Linked DNA regions of Ovis aries. The protein of the gene in region 2 purifies or fractionates together with the protein of the main gene of each other region. This does not show direct contact. Links are inferred from orthologs where the notes say so. Each region holds a gene or a part of one and is shown on either strand. Other genes may lie near its edges. The genes, in order: CTNNBL1 and AICDA.

What was found.
Region 1: the proteins of AICDA (region 2) and CTNNBL1 purify together in Homo sapiens (affinity purification with western blotting; 3 studies listed by BioGRID, with this or other methods). This does not show direct contact. The link is inferred for Ovis aries from reciprocal best matches to the Homo sapiens genes AICDA and CTNNBL1.

The regions. Positions count from the first base shown.
Region 1 is NC_056066.1:66,747,311-66,751,128, reverse strand, and holds part of CTNNBL1 (beta-catenin-like protein 1), read right to left. Parts: intron 2,064-3,818; coding exon 1,926-2,063; intron 1,686-1,925; coding exon 1,613-1,685; intron 240-1,612; coding exon 11-239; intron 1-10. UniProt on the Homo sapiens protein: Component of the PRP19-CDC5L complex that forms an integral part of the spliceosome and is required for activating pre-mRNA splicing.
Region 2 is NC_056056.1:206,848,583-206,852,919, reverse strand, and holds the start of AICDA (single-stranded DNA cytosine deaminase), read right to left. Parts: upstream 3,098-4,337; 5' UTR 3,016-3,097; coding exon 3,008-3,015; intron 1-3,007. UniProt on the Homo sapiens protein: Single-stranded DNA-specific cytidine deaminase. Involved in somatic hypermutation (SHM), gene conversion, and class-switch recombination (CSR) in B-lymphocytes by deaminating C to U during transcription of Ig-variable (V) and Ig-switch (S) region DNA.

The DNA.
Region 1 (3,818 bases), on a different chromosome or scaffold from region 2:
AAGTTCTTACTGAATGTGTGGGCATTGAAAATGAAGGTCCTTTAGAGGCTGGGCTTGCACATCGCCGCAGCTGCACCTGAGGCAGGAGGTGGCGTGAGGCCTGAAGCAGTAACTCACGCGCCTGTGACACTGAGGGGGAGATGCCACTACAGGAGATGCTAGGTGAGGCTCATGAACGGTCCCCTCTTTCCTCTTCCTCGGGGGGAAGACAATAAATTCCAGTGCCTCACAGGCTCCATCTGCAAAATGGGCACAAGATTTACTATCCCTACTTGCCAGGGAGGGCAGTGATGATCATGTAGCTTCCAGTCCTAGGTTTTCACCCACACAGTTCCTTTGGTTTGGAATGTCTAAGACCCAGCTCAATGTTCCTACTCCCACACAGCTTCCCATGGGATATTAGCCGTGCCTCACTTGTAACACTGCTGACGATAGTTATCATCACATTTCATAATACTCACAATAGCATTTACCAAGCAAATAGCAAATACTCAGCTAGCATCTACCAAGAACTTATGAACTGGAGACACTTTCCATATATCATCTCATTTAATCCTTTTACCTATTCTATGAGGTCTCTGAGCAATTGGATATCTTGCCTGAGGCAGCACTGCAAACAGAAGGAACAGGATTCACTTCCAGGAGCCAGATCCCAGAACCCAGGGCTCTTAACGTCTCACTCTATTATATATATCATTTATCTCCACATTTCATCTCCCACCTGTAATGGGAGTTATAAGCCACTTACCTGCACACCCTTCAAGTAAATCTAGCCTAATTCCTCGGCTAAGAAGTGGGCAGAATGAGGGTCAGAGAGGGACACAATGTGCCTGCGGTACCGTCCACTATGACTCTGAAGTCTGGTGTTATCAGCAAAGTCCAGCGTGGGCTCCTGCTGCTGTGTGTGCTGGTCTGTGCTAAGTGGTCCGAGGGTGGGCACTGCATCACAAAGCTGACCGAGAGCGTGCTCACCGACCGGAGGCCTCCTGGGAGCCACTCCAGCTGAGTCAGGTCCAGCCGAAAAGGGACCCGCTGGGGAAGGTGAAGGAAATTCACCCGAGCATTTCCTGTGTGCTGGCCACTAGGCTGGATGCTGTCATGTAACATCCCATGAACTTTTCCAAATTTCTTCTAGATCTTGCTCACATGGCTGGGGGAAGGCAGAGCTAGCACTGGAAAGCAGGCGTGCTTTTTCTCTTATACCATCCTGCCTCAAACTCACTTCCCTCTGCCTTAACTCCAGGTAGTTCTGATTAGTTTCTTTGTTTGTTTTTTTGTTTTTTCCCCTAAGAAAGTAATTTCCTTTCACTACATGCAGTTTGGACCTGGATTTTTTTTTGTGTGTGTGTGTGTGTTTAAATTTCCAATCCCTATTGCTTCTTGTTTGTGTTTTTAAAATTCTGGAAGTGGAGAATCAGAGGCAGAGATTAACTAGGTTAGTCTTTGGTATTCTGACAGGATGATCTGGACACAGACCGACCTGGACAACACACTTAAGCCTGCAGTGCAGAGAATGCTACGCACCAAATTCCAGGCATACAGACAGAGATGGAAAGAAAGCAACATCTAATTAATTCCCTGGAGCCCCAGACACAAGCAACATCCAACTCACCCTTGATGATGTGCCTGACGATTTTGATGGAGCTTCCACGCATATTCAGGATCTGGTGAACCCTCTGGCGAATCTAATAAGGAAAAGCAAGAGTGGACAGAGAAAGAAAGAGCATCATTTGTCCTGGTAGACATCAGAATACATCACACTGGAAGTATTCACTTCACCCCCATCCCTGAGAAAGAGGGCCCATGTAGAGTGAAGGAATTCAAGGAGTGTGTGATCCACTTCCTTCTTTGAGAGACTCTCCCCTAAGCCGGCGGCAGGCAAGGAGGCAGGGATGGATGGGCCCACCCAGGGCAGCCCCTCCTACCTGGGGCACGTTGGCATTGCAGATCTCTGCCATGATGTAGCAGATGTGCTGGAGGACAAACAGCCCGGCATCCAAGCGCCGGAGGTAGAACTCATCCTCAATGTCATTGTCGATGATCTCCCCACGCCGGACCATGTCCTAGAAAGGAAGGAACATTGGGGAACAAAAGTCAGACGGTGAGCGGAGGAGGGAAGGACAGGCTTCCAGTCCTCTCACGATTCACAAGAGAACAGTAATGACAACTACGACAACAAGAGAAAACCACTCTGCCTTCATTTGCCTCCTGCTTGACTCATTATTCTCAAGTATCTTATGTTCTCATTGTTACCGGACTAGAGGCTCACGGAGCCAAGACTAAAGTCCATTATTTTCTCTATACAAAGACTCAAGGCCAAAATGATCACATCCACACATTCAACCTGAAAAAAATAAGCTGATGGGGACATAAATCTATTTATCTACTTCTACTCATTCTTTACTCTGGTTCCCGCCTCCATCAGTAACCTCTCTACAAGATATACTTAACTCTCTTTTTCTTCCAAATTAAATTAACCTAGGGAGGAGAGGTCCTCTTTCTCTACAATTCTGATTTGGTGCCCTCCTGATGGTGCAGGTACCCATTCTACGTGTCCCTTCTGGCTTATATTTTGTTAGATACAAAACGCCAACCTTTCTGTTTCATTCCACGAGTTCAATACTTCCTCAAGGTCAAAGAGCTAATCTCTTTCCTCTTTAGGGAGTTTCTTTCCTAAAGTTTTGTAACCCCAGACCTATCAGACTTGCTCTCCCCATATATGTTCCTGTATAGCGGATTCTTTAAAAAACAAACCTAGCTTTATCCAGATACAATTGAGGTACCATAGTATTCAACCATTTAAAGTAACCGTTTTGTGTGTAGTCAGAGTTATGCAACCACCATCACAGTCATTGCAGCATATTTTCATTCCACTCCACCCCAAAGCCCCTCATTCAGAGGATTATCACCACCTCTGCCAAGACAGCTCTTCTTCCCGTCTCAGGGCCTTTACTGCCTTGCTTCCTAAGAGTTCTGGGATATCTCTCATGCCAGCACTATAAAGCAACCTCTCCTACAGAGCCTTTCTTGATCATTTAAGGATAACAAAACTCCTTTCCAAAATTCCTGACAGTACCCTTGCAGGCCACTCCACGGCATGCCGTCTTCTGGCCCATCATATCCACATGGATTTCAGTTACTATCAGCTCTCTGTTTCTATAACTCCCTCTATTTCATGAGGGTGGGCTGTGAGCTCTGCGAAAGTGGGGACTGAATTCTGTCTTTACATCCCCGGCTCAGTAAACATCCACGCGGTGAATGAGAGGAAAGAGACATGACTGCTGCAGGCTGTCAGAGTCGGAACTGGGTGAAAGACTCGTTCTGCACGACTAGCAGATTGGTCTGAGAAGACAGGCGCTTGAATACATGCTTTTGATGACAACAACCCATTTCTTAATTCTGTCAGTGGTTTTACGGCCATGGTTCCCTCTGACAATTCAGGCACCTGTCACTGATGGAAGCCCTGGGGACCCTGCTTTCCACGCTCCCAAACTCGAAGGACTTACCACCGTGGTCATCAATCCCCACCAGCATCCTTCAGAGACTATTTAGACGCAGATAACGCACTTCTTTATTTGCCCACGGGGCCTGCCTGTAGCTACTTTTCATCTTGTTCCTAAAGGCCTCTGTCTGTGAGGCAAAAGAAGGCTCTACCAGGCCCGGCGCTGCCTGGTAAAGCACCGCCACTAATTCAGAGCTTTGTGTAGTAGCAAATTCCTTGGTAATCTGGTGAGAGTGTTAATGGTCACGAGGTAGCCAACGCAGCACCGGACTGATGTCCAAGGAGTTTAAAAATAGAAGGGCCTCTTTAGTTTCTC
Region 2 (4,337 bases):
TGAGGTTTCCAGGTGGTACAGTATAGAATCTCCCTGCCAATGCAGGGGGATCGGGTTTGATCCCTGGGTTGGGAAGATCCCCTGGGGAAGGAAATGGCAACCCACTCCAGTGGGTTGTGCCTGGGAAATCCCATGGACAAGAGGAGCCTGATGGGCTACTGTCCATAGCGTTGCAAAGAGTCAGGCATGACTGAGCGACTGAGCACACACACGCGTAATTTACATATTCACCCATTTAAAATTCACAATTCTATGAATATTGGCAGATGTAAACACTTAACACTCTACTACTGTCGTGTACGGAACATTTTCAGGGCACCCCTCCCCCCAAGTTTTCTCATCCATCTCTTCAGTCAGTTCTTTTTCCCCCTCCCAGGCACTGTAATTATAAATGATGGTTTATTTTCTAGAATTTTATTTTAAACATGCATTATCGCCTCATTTGTGTCTGACTTCTTGTACTAAGTATATTATGACGTTGACATTCATCCATGCTGCTGTATGTATCAGGAGAGTTTGTTCTTTTGTCCTGCAAAGCACTATTCCATTGCTTCGGTACAGCACATTTCGTGTATTCACTCACCTGTTGAGGGACATCTGGGTTGTTTTCCATTCGAGGGTTATTGTGAATAAAGCTTCTACACCTACCTTTGTATGGACATGTTGATTATTGATAGTTTGATAGTGAAATACATGAGATAGACCCAGAAGTCAACTTCCCAAGTGTCACCCTTACTAAATCTGTAAGCAAGGGCCAGAGATTTTTAAAGGTGTTGTAATTTGAATGTTTTTCCCACACACATGAAGCTTATTGGAAATCGTTTTGAGGGGGCGGTGTGGGAGGTGGGGCGCTGTGCCACATGACATGTGAGATCTTAATTCCCCAACCAGGGATCAAACCCATGCCTCCTACAATGGAAGCATGGGACTTCCATGGAAGTCCCTGGAATCCACTTTAAATCCTGAGGTATTAAAAAAAAAAACAGAAAATCCTGAGGTAGAGAATTAGATGTATCACCAGTGTATACATTACATATATGAAACCATATACAAGTTAGTCAATCAAATTTTTATAATTAAAAATTCACACTTGACAGAAATCCAAAATGAATGTTAATAAAAATCTAATAATCACTGGCTTTATTCTAAAGTGATAATAATTTACCATGGTAAAACCACCACAGCACTACCTCGTTACTGTTACTATTGTTAATTGACATAACCACCCTCAGCATATTACATAAACCGAATACATAGTAGATGCCTAATAAATACTGGAGAGGAAGAAAAAAAATTCTCTCCTTTGGGCCCAGTTTTAAATGGATTAGGCATCGTCTCTTACCAATAAATTCCTTTTGCATTTAACCTGTCCTCCTGGGCTGTGTGGATGAGAAGTGGGGGAGGGGATACAATATCATGCATTGCAGGTGGTATTGGCCGGGCGGTTCCCGTAGGAGGGAAAAGTGTCCTGGGAGTGTAAGGAAGGATAGGACACAGACTAAGGAATTCAAATGGCCTTCTACCCCCACATGAAAATACTATTTCCATCAGAAGTTACCAGCCACAGTGAATTGAATTGCATGCCTGTGACCTTGTTAAGTATCTTTAATTATAGCTGGGGGCTTAGTTCCTATTCTCTGGTTTCTCTCCCTCTCTTTTAAGAAATATTTATTTATTTGGCTGTACCTGGTCTTATTTGTGGCATGTGGGATCTAGTTCCCCTACCAGGGATTGAGCCCAGGCCCCCTGCATTGGGAGTGTGGCGTCTTAGCCACTGACGCACCAGGGAAGTCTTCTTTGGTTTCTCTTGAGGATGCAGAGGACTCGGTAGAGACTGTCTGTAAGGCCCACAGGTTGACAGCTGCGCCAGACAGCTGTGTGCCCTGAAGCGGAACCCTGGCTGCATCCCCAGCAATGCAAACCAGAGACAGATGGGTTAAAAGTAATCGTGACCAAGTCATCCTTTCCTGCCGCGTGCCATCAGTGCTGTGCTCTGCAGATAGTATTTTCCTTAATGAAAATCATGTATTTCCCTTTTTCTCCTGTTGAATTTCATCCTCTCTCCTTCTCTGACTTTCTCTGAATTTCAACTCTGATTTTACTGTTGTTTTGCATTTCATTATTTACAAGTATCTCCATTGAGCCTTTTTCGTCTCATACCACAGATTAGTTTTCACTGTAAACTGAGCTGACGTGTGATATTTTGCCCTCAGTTTTCTGAAGGACATTTAATCCACCATTAAGATTCTACACTGAGATTGAAGTATATGGATTAGGTATAAATTTGCATACATTTGCAATAGAAATAGGTTAAGTTCTATGATAATAACATTGTCATAAACTTCATGTGAAGACATCATCAAAATTTTACAGAGTATGCATTAAAGAAGTAAGTTAAGTCATGTCTGAAGAAATGGAGAGACTCAGTAAAGAGTAAAAATGCCATTAACTGCCTCTTTGGCCTATAATATTAAAGAAGCTTTTTCAATTGAATTTATCTCCTTGTCACAGACAGTGACTGACCTTCAAGCAAATACTTTTGAATATTGGCATTTAGAAAATAATTTCTTGACTATGTAATTTTCAATAAAGTCTCTGTAGTCAAGTTTTTCTTCAAGAGGTTCTACAGTTGAATGTTTACAGAATTATTACCATTACCACTACTGTTTTTAGTACAGTATTGCCATGACCTTTTCATGATTTGAGTCTCTTAACATTTGCCTGATGAATATTACTACCATAAACTATCCTAACTGTAAGGACAAGTCAATGCATGGTGCATAAAAGTTCTTTTGAGTATGGAAAGGAAAAAAGAGAAAGATAATTGGGCGGAAAGCATGTAAGATCTGAACAGAAGATGAGACAGATCCAGAAAAATAAATGTGTATCTTGACCAGGCAGATCCTGTGAGTCAGTGTTAGGGGAAAGGGAAAGTCTACGCATGTTATCACTCAGATTTGCTCTGAGAGTAAGGCCAGCGCAACCACCCACAAGCAGACTGCTTTACCTGTCCATGGTGGAATCCAGTTTGTCTTTCTTGGCTCCCTGAAGATCTTAAGAAGAAAAGCTTGCCTCCAGCACTTCTGCTGCACTGGCTGAAAATGCACCGGTCTCACACATTCAAATTTGAACTCAGCCCTTTAGGCTCCTCCCCACAACAGCATCACCACCAACAGGTACCCCATACCCCAGCAGGCTTCCTCCTGTTTGGGTCCACTGGAGATGGGTGGGGTTTTCATAGGCAAAAATTCACAGAGAGAAAATGACTGAGGGCCACTCTGCCTAATGTATAGGTCCCTTTAGTTCTGCTTCTTTAAAAATGCAGTCCACCCTCCACAGGTAGTAAAGATCAGGAGACAGGAGAAGTAGACAGACTGTATATTGTAATCCTGGTAAGAAATGATATCTTTATTCATTTATCTATTTCTTGGCTGAGCCTCAAGGCTTGTGGGAATCTTAGTTTTCTGACCAGGGATTGAATCGAGGCCATAGCAGTAAAAGCACCAAGTCCTAACCACTGGATTGCCAGGAAACTCCTCAAAATGGTATCTTTAAAACATAATAATAACAATAAATTTAAAAGTCTCGTGTGTCCGATCAGCCAAAAGCATCTATTCCTCATTTAATTACACAATAGCTCTGAGTCTCAATAAAGACCGACACTAACTGTTCCTGCTTGTTTGCTGGCCAAGTATACTCAGGACTTAGGACGGAGATTTTTGCCTCCCAAACCACTGATTTTTTTTTTTTTCCCCCTTTGATTGCTTTACAAGAATTGCTAGAAGGCTAGATGATTACACCAAAGGATAATTTTTGCATAAGGTCATCTTTTCCACAGAAGCCATAGATTAATTTGAAGTCAGAAGCAACAGCATCTCAAACAACAAAAGATTTATTTCATCACACAGAATCAGCCTCTAAGTGACTGCACTGAACTTAGAAAACAGGTTGGGCTTTTCAAATGAGAGGCTTTAAGTTCCCTCCCTCATACAAGCTGGTCTAATAAAGATTTTTACTTCTCCCTCCTGCATTCATATGTATTCTATCTATTCATTCAATAAGACATTCAATACCCACTAGGTGACAGAAACTGCCAGGTGCCGGTGTTGCAATAGTGAGCCAAGCGGCCAGGGTTCTTGCTCTCTTTCTGCTTCAAGGCTTTAAAAAATCGTCTATATGTTAATGATCCTCCCCTTGCCCCAGTCTGTAGTTCTAGCCTGGAACTCTCCCTTGTACTCAAAGTAAGTATATCCATCTTCCACCTCAGCATCTCCCTCTGGATGTCTGGGCATTTCAAACATGGCTAAAACTGAGCACCTGTTCTCTCTCTCAACGTA